Linked DNA regions of Drosophila melanogaster. The protein of the gene in region 2 interacts with the protein of the main gene of each other region in a pairwise test. Each region holds a gene or a part of one and is shown on either strand. Other genes may lie near its edges.

Evidence for each region.
Region 1: the proteins of hwt (region 2) and CG14443 interact in a two-hybrid assay, tested with the Drosophila melanogaster proteins (one large-scale study listed by BioGRID).

What each region holds. Positions count from the first base shown.
Region 1 is NC_004354.4:6,631,977-6,636,774, reverse strand, and holds CG14443 (uncharacterized protein), read right to left. Parts: upstream 2,817-4,798; coding exon 606-2,816; downstream 1-605. UniProt on the Drosophila melanogaster protein: Probable ATP-binding RNA helicase.
Region 2 is NC_004354.4:12,565,390-12,570,218, forward strand, and holds the start of hwt (heavyweight), read right to left. Parts: upstream 3,064-4,829; 5' UTR 2,900-3,063; intron 1,448-2,899; 5' UTR 63-1,447; coding exon 1-62.

The DNA.
Region 1 (4,798 bases), 5.9 Mb from region 2:
AAACAACTAAATAACTCTATGGCAATCAATGGGCCAAAAAGTAGGGGGGTTTGCTGGCTGACTGGCTGTATAGAAAATATTGACCCATATATGTCAGAATTTGAACGGTAGGCGAACCAGCGAATTGGTGACAGAAGCCCAAATGATTCGATATGGATCGAGATCTAGGCGGATTTTCACAATTTATAACGATAGAAAACGTATTAAGTTTGAATATCCTATGACGGTTCTTAAAACTTTAAGGTACGCATAAATACATAAATGGCACATGTAAATATCATAAGGGATTTAGTATGAACTGAAACCGTATTTGAATATTGATGCGCCTGCCATGCATTTTACTTAGCTGCACTTCACTTGCATAACATCACGTCTTCTGAGCTCTGGATGCACAACTTTCTTTGCGGACGTGCCATCCATGCCTCCCATTCGTCATTACCCCATTTTTTAGTCCCCCCCCCCCTCCCAAAAAAAAAAAAACCATTTCAACTGGCCTAGTTAAATCAATAAACATTTAAAGGGTTAAATCCATTATACATTAACAATTTAAGTTAGTTAAGCCATCAAAATGTTTGCCAATAACATATATATCCGCTATATCGACCCTAATGCATGCGATTGTAGCGTTGCGGACGATGGCGCCTTCGTTGACGGGGACCAAACATCTTTTCTTCAGCGAGCTGAAGAAGATGCGGTCCAATTTCTTGTTTACAGATCTTAAGAAAATCGACCACTTCCGTCACGAGCTTGTAGTTTGCCATGGTAAAGAAGCTGATGACCTCGCAGTTACGGTTATACGACAGGCATCCCGTTCTGCTCATGCGTTGAACATACTTATCAATGTTGTCCGGGAAATCATAATTGATCACATAACGAATGCCTGGCACATCCAAGCAGTTCGATGTCATTTGCGTGGCCACAATGATATTGTAGGCGCCAGTGCCAAAATCATGGATTATTCCTTGATTTTCTTGGGCAGTGCGTCCACCATGGATGCCCTCGCAGGGTACACAATTCCGGATCAAATCCACCAGTTCTTCCACGACCTTTTGGCGCTTCACATAGATCACCACCTTACCGGGAATATCGCTTGTATCGTAAATAGCAGTCAGCTCCTTCATAAGGCGTTCTACTTTCGATAGCCCATTGACTACCTCCACCCGCTGGCGGATGTTTTGTAATCGCACGCCTATATTGTTTATTTCACCCACGCGAATTGCGGTGTATTGGCCCAAAAACTTGTTGGCCATCCGTTTCAGATTAGATGACCACGACGTGCTGCTGACGATCAATTGGGCATGCGGACGTAGACGGCATAGTAGTCGGCAAATGTTACCCTCTAAGCCCACATCAATCATGCGATCAATATTGTCCAGAACCAAATATGTGCAGCGTTCCAGTTCTACAACATGTTTTTTGTTATCAATCATTTGAAGCAGGCGACCAGCAGAGGCCACCAGCAGATCGCATTCGGCATGACCTTGCCATTGACTGTTGCCCAAGAGGCAATGCGTCCTAAGCTCGAGAGGATTTGTATAGTACAATACCTCTCTTTGGACCATGACAGCAGCCTCACGGCAGTCCACCAATATCAAGACAATCGGTCCTTTCTTGTGCTGCATTAATCCGCGCTGATTGTGCATCTTCATTATGCCCGGCAATAGATAGCCCAATGTTTTACCCGTACCCTTTCCAGAAATCATCACAATATTTTTGCCCTCCTTGGCAATCGACCATGTTTGTGCCTGAATGGGCGTGGGCCCATCATAGCCTTGATCCTCCAGTTGCTGTAATATGGTTGCATTGAATCCGCTGCGCTCGAAACTCAGCACAGGCTCCGGAAGGTTTCGCATATTCCAGCTGGTCAAGGTGATATTGTGGCGTTTCCGATAATTAGCGGCATTATTATACACCTCATCCATCGGCTGCTTCCAGGTATTGTAATTACTAGGGCGGCTTGGGTTTTTGGATTGGTCCTGATAACACAAAGTATTCCGATGGGGACTGCGGCTTCTGGTGAAGGAGCGGCTAACCAAAATCTTTTGAATGGAGCTGCAACTCATGCTCCTCGATTGACTCTTCTTCCAGGGAGTGCGCATTCCGACCCTCCACGAATTGCGGCCGCGATTGGACGGACTTTTGGGTTCTGGACTCCCGTACGTCAGATCATTTTGGGTCTTCGAAGGACAAAAGCGCTTTTGCGGTAGACTGCTGCTCCTGCTTCTTGATTCTTTATTTTCACGAGAGGTTTTCACGGCCTTGAAAGAATTTGGCGATTGCCAAGTTTCATGAATGCGAAAAACAGCGCTTCGCATGCGTGGCCTCTCTCCCGTATCGCTACCGTGAGAACTTGATCCCGTAGTGGAATCCGAATCGGATGACGAGCCGGAATTGGAATCGGATGAACTCGATTCGGATCCGGAAGAATGAGCAGACTCAGAACTGGACCGCAAATGGGATTTTCCTCTAAACTTGCCATTACCCATGCTCCTGCTTTTCGACCGGGATTCGCGCGTAGACTTGGAAAATCCGCCAGCAGAATGCGGACCACTGAAACTCTCGCTCCTGATTTTGAAATTTGGTTTCTGTCCCTCAATTCCGTGTTGTATTGTGAAAAGCCTTTTCGTAACGAATTTGGAGGACAAGACAGAGCTTGAGGATTTTAAAGATCTGGACTGACCGCTTATGTCCGAAGCGCTGGAGCCCCAAATCGAAGACTTCGTACCCTTAAGGAACGGCTTTTTCTGAACCTTTTCTGCATCGGTTTCGTTGTCTTTCCAGTTTCCAATCACCAGTTTCTTAGCTTTCTCACACATTTTCTGCAGCACTTATTTGCGTTTGTTCACTTCCAATTTTTGCCAAGGCAATAAAAAAATCTCCTTACGAACACAGCGAAATGCCACGTGTTATGAAAAAAGTTGACAACTCTAAGCTTTGGTGTTGGTTAATTTTCAGTGTGTCCTCCTCTTAGTGTTGGTAAATTTAAATACATTTAAATTTAATGAAATAAAAAATTCCCATATGTGTTTGTTATTGTTCTTAATAAAATGTAATGTTATAAAATGTAATTTCTTATTAAGGGGCATGAACTGAGGTTTGAGTCCGTATTAATCTGGAAGATTAATAATTTAAGTGGACTTTTTATGGTCTTCAATATGCTTAATTTCCCGAGTGCAGACTGTTCCAGTTCCGGACTGAGATACGGATACGGGTTTGTACTCCGCTGGCGGAAGTTCAGAGCGCTCTTACTCAATCGAAAGACCCACATTGGGTGGGTTATCTGCCGTATAATTGGCGAGTGTGAGTGTCTGAATGTTTGGTCAATTAAAAGCATTCGCTGGCTTTTTTATCAAATTCAATTAGCCGACGACGAAAGCAAAACAAAATCCAAAAAAAAAAAAACCAAAAACGCCGCAACAAAGTTGCTCAATGCGGAATTCAGAGGAGGGTTTTACCATCTCTCTAAATAAAAATCATAAAACTAAAAAACAAAAAATGAATAAATAATATAAAGTACACATGCATGCATATGCGAGGAGTTCTAACTATAGAAAATCCGTATAATTAACTAGATAAATTGGCAAGCAATTGGCTGTACAGCTCGTTAAGGCTAATGATCGTCGGACAGCTAACGATCTCCTTTGGCTAATTGGCCAACAGTACGGAACACCCCTCCGCGACCCGGTTTTCAGACCACCCTTCATTTAATGTGGCCATCAAGTCGTAATTACGCTCGTTGTTGAAACGATGAAGACATCAAATTGCATTGCATCGCCTTTAGAATTGCTGGCCATTCAAAGAGATTTGTTTTGGTTTAAGATCCCAATCAGTCCGGAGTTTCAATTAAAGTTCCATTAACGCTTCGCGACACACACAATTATCAAAAAATTATATTTATGCTTATGACATTTCCGGCAGCTCCCCAGTTACCCAGCCCCTCCACACTTTCCACCAGTGCAAAATTTATGCTCCCCTGTCTGAGTCATTTCATTTATTTCGAGACAGCGCAGACAGAAGATCAAAGCGACTTCATGATTATGCTGCACGCATATCCATCACCATATCGAGCTCGAGCACTCGCCTCGGGGTGGAGTTGTCTATGGATCCATGGATGCACTCGAGGATTGGGGGGGGGGGGGCATGTGTGTGCAGGTGCTGGTGCAGGTGAGGCTGTGGCTGTGCCTGTCGCTGCTGCTGCTGGGATCGCTGTGTGTGGCTATAGTGGTTGGGGTAGTGGCTAATCGGCACTAAGCGTACAAAAACACGTGACCAGTTACCAAGTTGGTGGATTACTTATAAAAATAGTTAGTCTCAAGCTAAAATCGATGAAAAATGCTCCACAAAATGTGCCATATAAAGTTTTAAAGTTTTTTTTTTTTTAAATATCCTTATTTACTGCCATTTAAGGTCACTCTATACAGTATTACTAAACCATAACGACATTGCCCAACACTAACTTACTTTATTTAATTTGTGCGCCGACAACACATTTCTATGCAACTAATGTTGCACTGGGCATAAATTCTCGGCTATGTTCCCCGAAGAAAATCCACACACACACATCACTGGGAAGAAACGAGAGGAGATCCACGCAGCAGGAGACCCCCCAAAGGGGGCAAGGCGATCTCGTTGGCGATACGAATCCGTAAAGCAGCAGCAAAAAACAACAAGACACACAAAAAAAAAAAAGCAAACCAAAACCAAAACAACAACAAAGCGGCCAAGTAGGAAAAGAGAAAAAATAACTGCAACAACGGGGCAAGAGCAGAAGTAAAGACAAATTGTCTACGGGTTGAGG
Region 2 (4,829 bases):
TGTGCTTGCGACTTGCTGGTGTTGCGCAAACTGTGGTTTACTTTTCGCCACATGCGCTCCATCTTGAAAAATCCGCTTGATTCCTTGCGGCGATTCGATAATGTTTTCTTGATGAGGGGTATATTGTTGAAAGTGATTGTTGCATACGAGTATATTTGTTAGCTTATTACAGTTTCCATTACTCTTTTCGCTTTACCCCAATAAATAGTTTTTTTTTATATATTTATTTAATTTTTGGTTAATTAAAGATATATGAGAATTTTTTCAGTTAATGCCAAATGCGTTCCAGCTGCTTAATTTCCTTTGTTGGTTCATTGTTGAGTATTGGTGTGCGTCCTTGTTGTGATTTGTGGTTGAATATCTCTTGCTGCTCAATACAGATTCCGTTAGTATTTTGGTATTTTTAAATACTTTAATTGTTGTAAATATGTGATTTAATGTGAAATGATTAGCAAATATTTTGGTTTTTTACCAGTTTGTTTAGTAATGCTTTAAATGTATGGAAGCCGTAGATCTAAGATACTTTCATTTGCATAATCCACAACATTTATTTAAATGTAAGCCTTTTCGATAATAAGAAGTGTTTTTGCTAAAACGTTACGTTAGTTTAAATTTTGTGCGAGTTTAGTCGGTGTTTACCATTACTATGTATTAATCCTAAAGATTTAAAGTTTTTGATATTGGCAAGCACTTTTTTTATTATTGATTAATTTATATAGTTTATTTCAATTACCACATGTTTTTGAAGAGTTTTAGCCATTGCTAGGAAGTTTTTGGTATTTATTTTCAAAACAGCTAGTTGTTAACCTTTTCGTTGTTAAAGTTCTTTCTATTTAATAGTTATGTTTGATATAAGATATTGATTTCATTTAAAGTTGTTGTGGAACAATTTGAATTTCCTTTATTGGTTTTTGTAAACTTATTTTGTTAGTTGGTGTAAATTATCGTTGTTGAATCTTCTTGGCAGTTGTTGATAGTCGTTCATTCCCCTGTTGATGTAGATAGTTGTTTTTACCTATGGGTTGATTTCATGTGGAGTTCTTCTTAGTTGTTGTTTTATTTGTTGTTCCTTTTATGTTGTTTCCAACCATATTTATCAGTTTCTGCGGGTATCCATTTTCCTATTGGGAAATTTCAGCTAGCTACGAGGGTTGGGACATTTTCTAGTTTCTTGTTTGCCACACTCCTTTCGTGTTCTGCTTTTTCTTCCGGTCTTTCTCCTCTTCGGTGCGGCTGTTTTTGCTGTTATTGTTGTTAGCTTATTGTTTTTAGGTGGCAGTGATTAGTTGTTGTTGCGGTTGCTGTTGTTATTGCTTGATTGACTTTCATCTTGGTTTACCTTGGATCTCGTTCAAATACACAAAGGGACACTCATTCGATTATACAGAAAAGCTACTCAGCAGGAACTATGCATTGTTGTTGTTGTTGTCATTTCGATTGTTGTTGTCTGCGAAAAGCGGAAGCGGAAAGTAGAGAGCATGAATTTGAGTCTAGGACTCGACACGTATGTGCCCTGCAGTTCCAATATTCATCGCTACTCAATCAAAACCACCACAAAATCGCACTTCGATTGTTTTGTGGGAAATCTTGTGCTTTTTTCTAGATGCTTTTGTGATACTTTGACAAAGTAATGAATTCTTAGGACATGTGAATGCTAAAATCATCACTAGTTATCGTACAAACTGAGCGGTGATTGAGCGCTTGTGATGAATGCTAGGTGGTGATTCATCGCTAAAAACGTAATGAATGAAAATACAGGGTACATATAGGTACGTTTGTATGTGTATGCTTAGCGTGCTTGAGTTCCTGATTGTGTGTAATTGTGTGGGTGAGTGGCCTGCACTTTTAGGTTAAGCACGCGCTTCACTCATTTTTCCTTTTTTTTTTTTGTTTTGTTGTGTTTGTTATTTGTTTTATTTGCTGCCTAAGCCGCTCTATTTTTGCCCCTATTTGTTGCTGTTGTTGCTTTCTACATTGCACTTGTGAATGAATGACGAATTTTTTTGCCACTGCCTCTCCACTCACTCTCCACAGCGCTCTCGCTCTCTTCTGTCTCTTGCTTGCTCCGAAGAGTTACGGTTACGGTTTTTCTTTTATCTCGTTATCAGCACACTTTTTGCACTTCTTTTAATAGCAATTCTGCTTCTTTCATTTTCACCATCTAATTTTTGCACACAATTTGTGTAATTTTGCGTGGAAAATACACTTATTAAACGCTGCGCATTCCACAACTACAACGCAGTTGTTGTCTCGTTGTCAGGTTGTTGCTGTAGTTGTTGTTGTTGCTGTTGCCGTTAGCGCCTGGCTGGCTGCTGGCACGTTGAGTCAACATCATTTCAGTTCACCCAAAAAAGACAAAAAAAACAGGGACACTGTCTCTCTGCACAGTGGGTTACTTTGGCTTGTCAAGTTTATTCCAAAACAAACAAAATTTGTAAAAAACATAAAATAGATTGTATTTATATTACCTAAAATATATTAATTTTTTAAAAAAATGTAACACTATAATAAAATTTTCTCAAATTGTTGGAGATGTGAAACAAAAATAACACCCACTGTGCAAGTCAGAGAGAAAGGTTCAAGAGAGAGAGCTAGAGAGTGCGCTCTTGCCGCTTAGGATGTGCATATGGTCGTGCGTGGGCGCAAGCCATGTTACGGTATCCAATCCCGTTTCCGTATACGTGTGAGTTGGTTTTTTTTTTTTATGGCTGTATTCAAAGTTGTGTCCTGTGTATAACACAAACACATTGCGCTGCAGAGGAATATGCTCGTACAGATAGAGAGAGACTGCGAGTGAGAGCGAGAGGAAGCTGCCTGCTTAACCGTTTTGACACCTTTTGTTGCCTATATTTTGGGGCCAGCACACACACACATACTCCCACACAGGAATTTTGAATACCGGTTAAAATTTGGGAAAAGACACACTGCCGAATCGGCCAACGGTTAACGATAAACAATCAATCGGAATCCACAGGAATCCACATTTTTGTATCACACGAGAGCTGAGCAGAAGCCGCTGCCCGTTTATTGGCAACGCGCACGCACAAATAACGGAGCCACTGTGGCAAAATCAGCGGCTGTGAAAGCAGCCTCAGCAGCTGAGAGCCGAGGACACGAGGACTCACACCCGAAGTCGAAACGATTGCTCAACCGCTTTGGTATCAGGTCGGTAAAATGTAAACATTGGGAGTATCGCTTGCCGGGCCAGAAAGCGACAGCGTAGAGCCGTAGATAGAGAGCACTCTTGCAGGACGATTGCGCAGCAAAGCGACATCTGCCAAGACTTTTTCGCAACTAAAACGATAAAATTCTCAAAAACACGACCAACGGAGGGCGCTTCGGTGGTAAATGCATAGAAAATTGAGAATGAATTTACCAAAACGATAAGCCAAGAGCTTTCTTTGTGGGCAAATCGCAAAGAACACCACCAATAGCGGGCGCTGTGGTATTTTCCACTTAGAAACTTATATTAACATTCATATATTCCCGAAACACGTGTCGTATGAGTAACATTGCAAATGAAACACAGGTCGTATGTGCGATATTTACTAATAATATCACTCATACGCCGTGTTGTTATGCGTTGCATGTTTTGCTTATAACATAATAATAATCTATTAAAAGCAAGAATTTGCGATATTTTTCTCAGGACGACCAACCTTTCCTTCAATATCAAATTATAAAAATGTCTTGGATCGCAACAATCATCCGATAAGTAGGCAATACTTTTTGGTAGGTTGGATTCTTCCGCCCAGCAAATAAAACATTCACGACTTTTTCGATTTTGTATAGTATTTTTAATTGTTTTGCCCGTCATCAAAGTCCCCAATCAATTAATCAATTATCAATTAATCATTGCCAGCATCCGCTATCGATTAGGTATTCGTTTTCGTGTCTGCTGCATCCGGTGTTTCCTCTTAGTTGTACCACTTGTGTGTCTATCTTTAGTCGTTAAGTGTATATGTAGTATAAAGTTGATACTCATGCTAAATCGAATCGACTTGGTTTGCTTCGTTCAAAAAATGTTATAGGCTATGCAATACAATTACGTGATCGTTAGTTGACTTTAACATTTAGTTGACTGACATCAAACACACAAATATAGTTTATATTTCTTTTAGTTTGATTTTTTTTTTTTAGGTTTTTTAATATGTATGTACTCGTACTTATATAGGGTTGATGCATTATGCGATATCTAATCCGTATTATATTTAGATAGCACTACTGTTTTACACACACACGCACAAGGTTTACAAACGTTAGTTATTATTTAGTTTAGTTTTGTTGTAAAGAAAATTTCGATTAGTTTTCTTCTTAGACTTAGATTGCTAAAACGTTGGTATTGGCCTATTGTATGATTTCTTTATAAATTGTTTTTCATTTTTTTCCATTTTTCTTTTATTTGTTTTTTTTTTTCTTTAATTGGGAATCTCATTTTTTTTTTAATTGAGATCGTTTTCTGGTTTGCCAAAGTGCTAAGCCTGTTCAAGTTTTCTTAGCTTTTTGCTTTTCATGCATTTTCCATTTTCGTATTTCCGATTTCCAGGATCTCATGCTCATCTTGTTGTTCTTCATGCTAGGCTATATCACAAAATGTGTTTTCTTTATCTTTTTGTTTTTTTTTGTTCCAACTGCTCTTCCGCTCGAAGAGAAATCAAAAAAATGTATAAATCTGCATTAAACTCAGTATTTGTGCTAACAAAATTAGTTTCAAAGCGAAAAAACTACTCTAAGCTATGGTACTTTTGAGTTTTATGTTTTGAAAGTATTTTTGTTAGCTTAAATACTGCGCCAAAGGAAAAAGTAATGATAGCTTTAAAATAAATAGC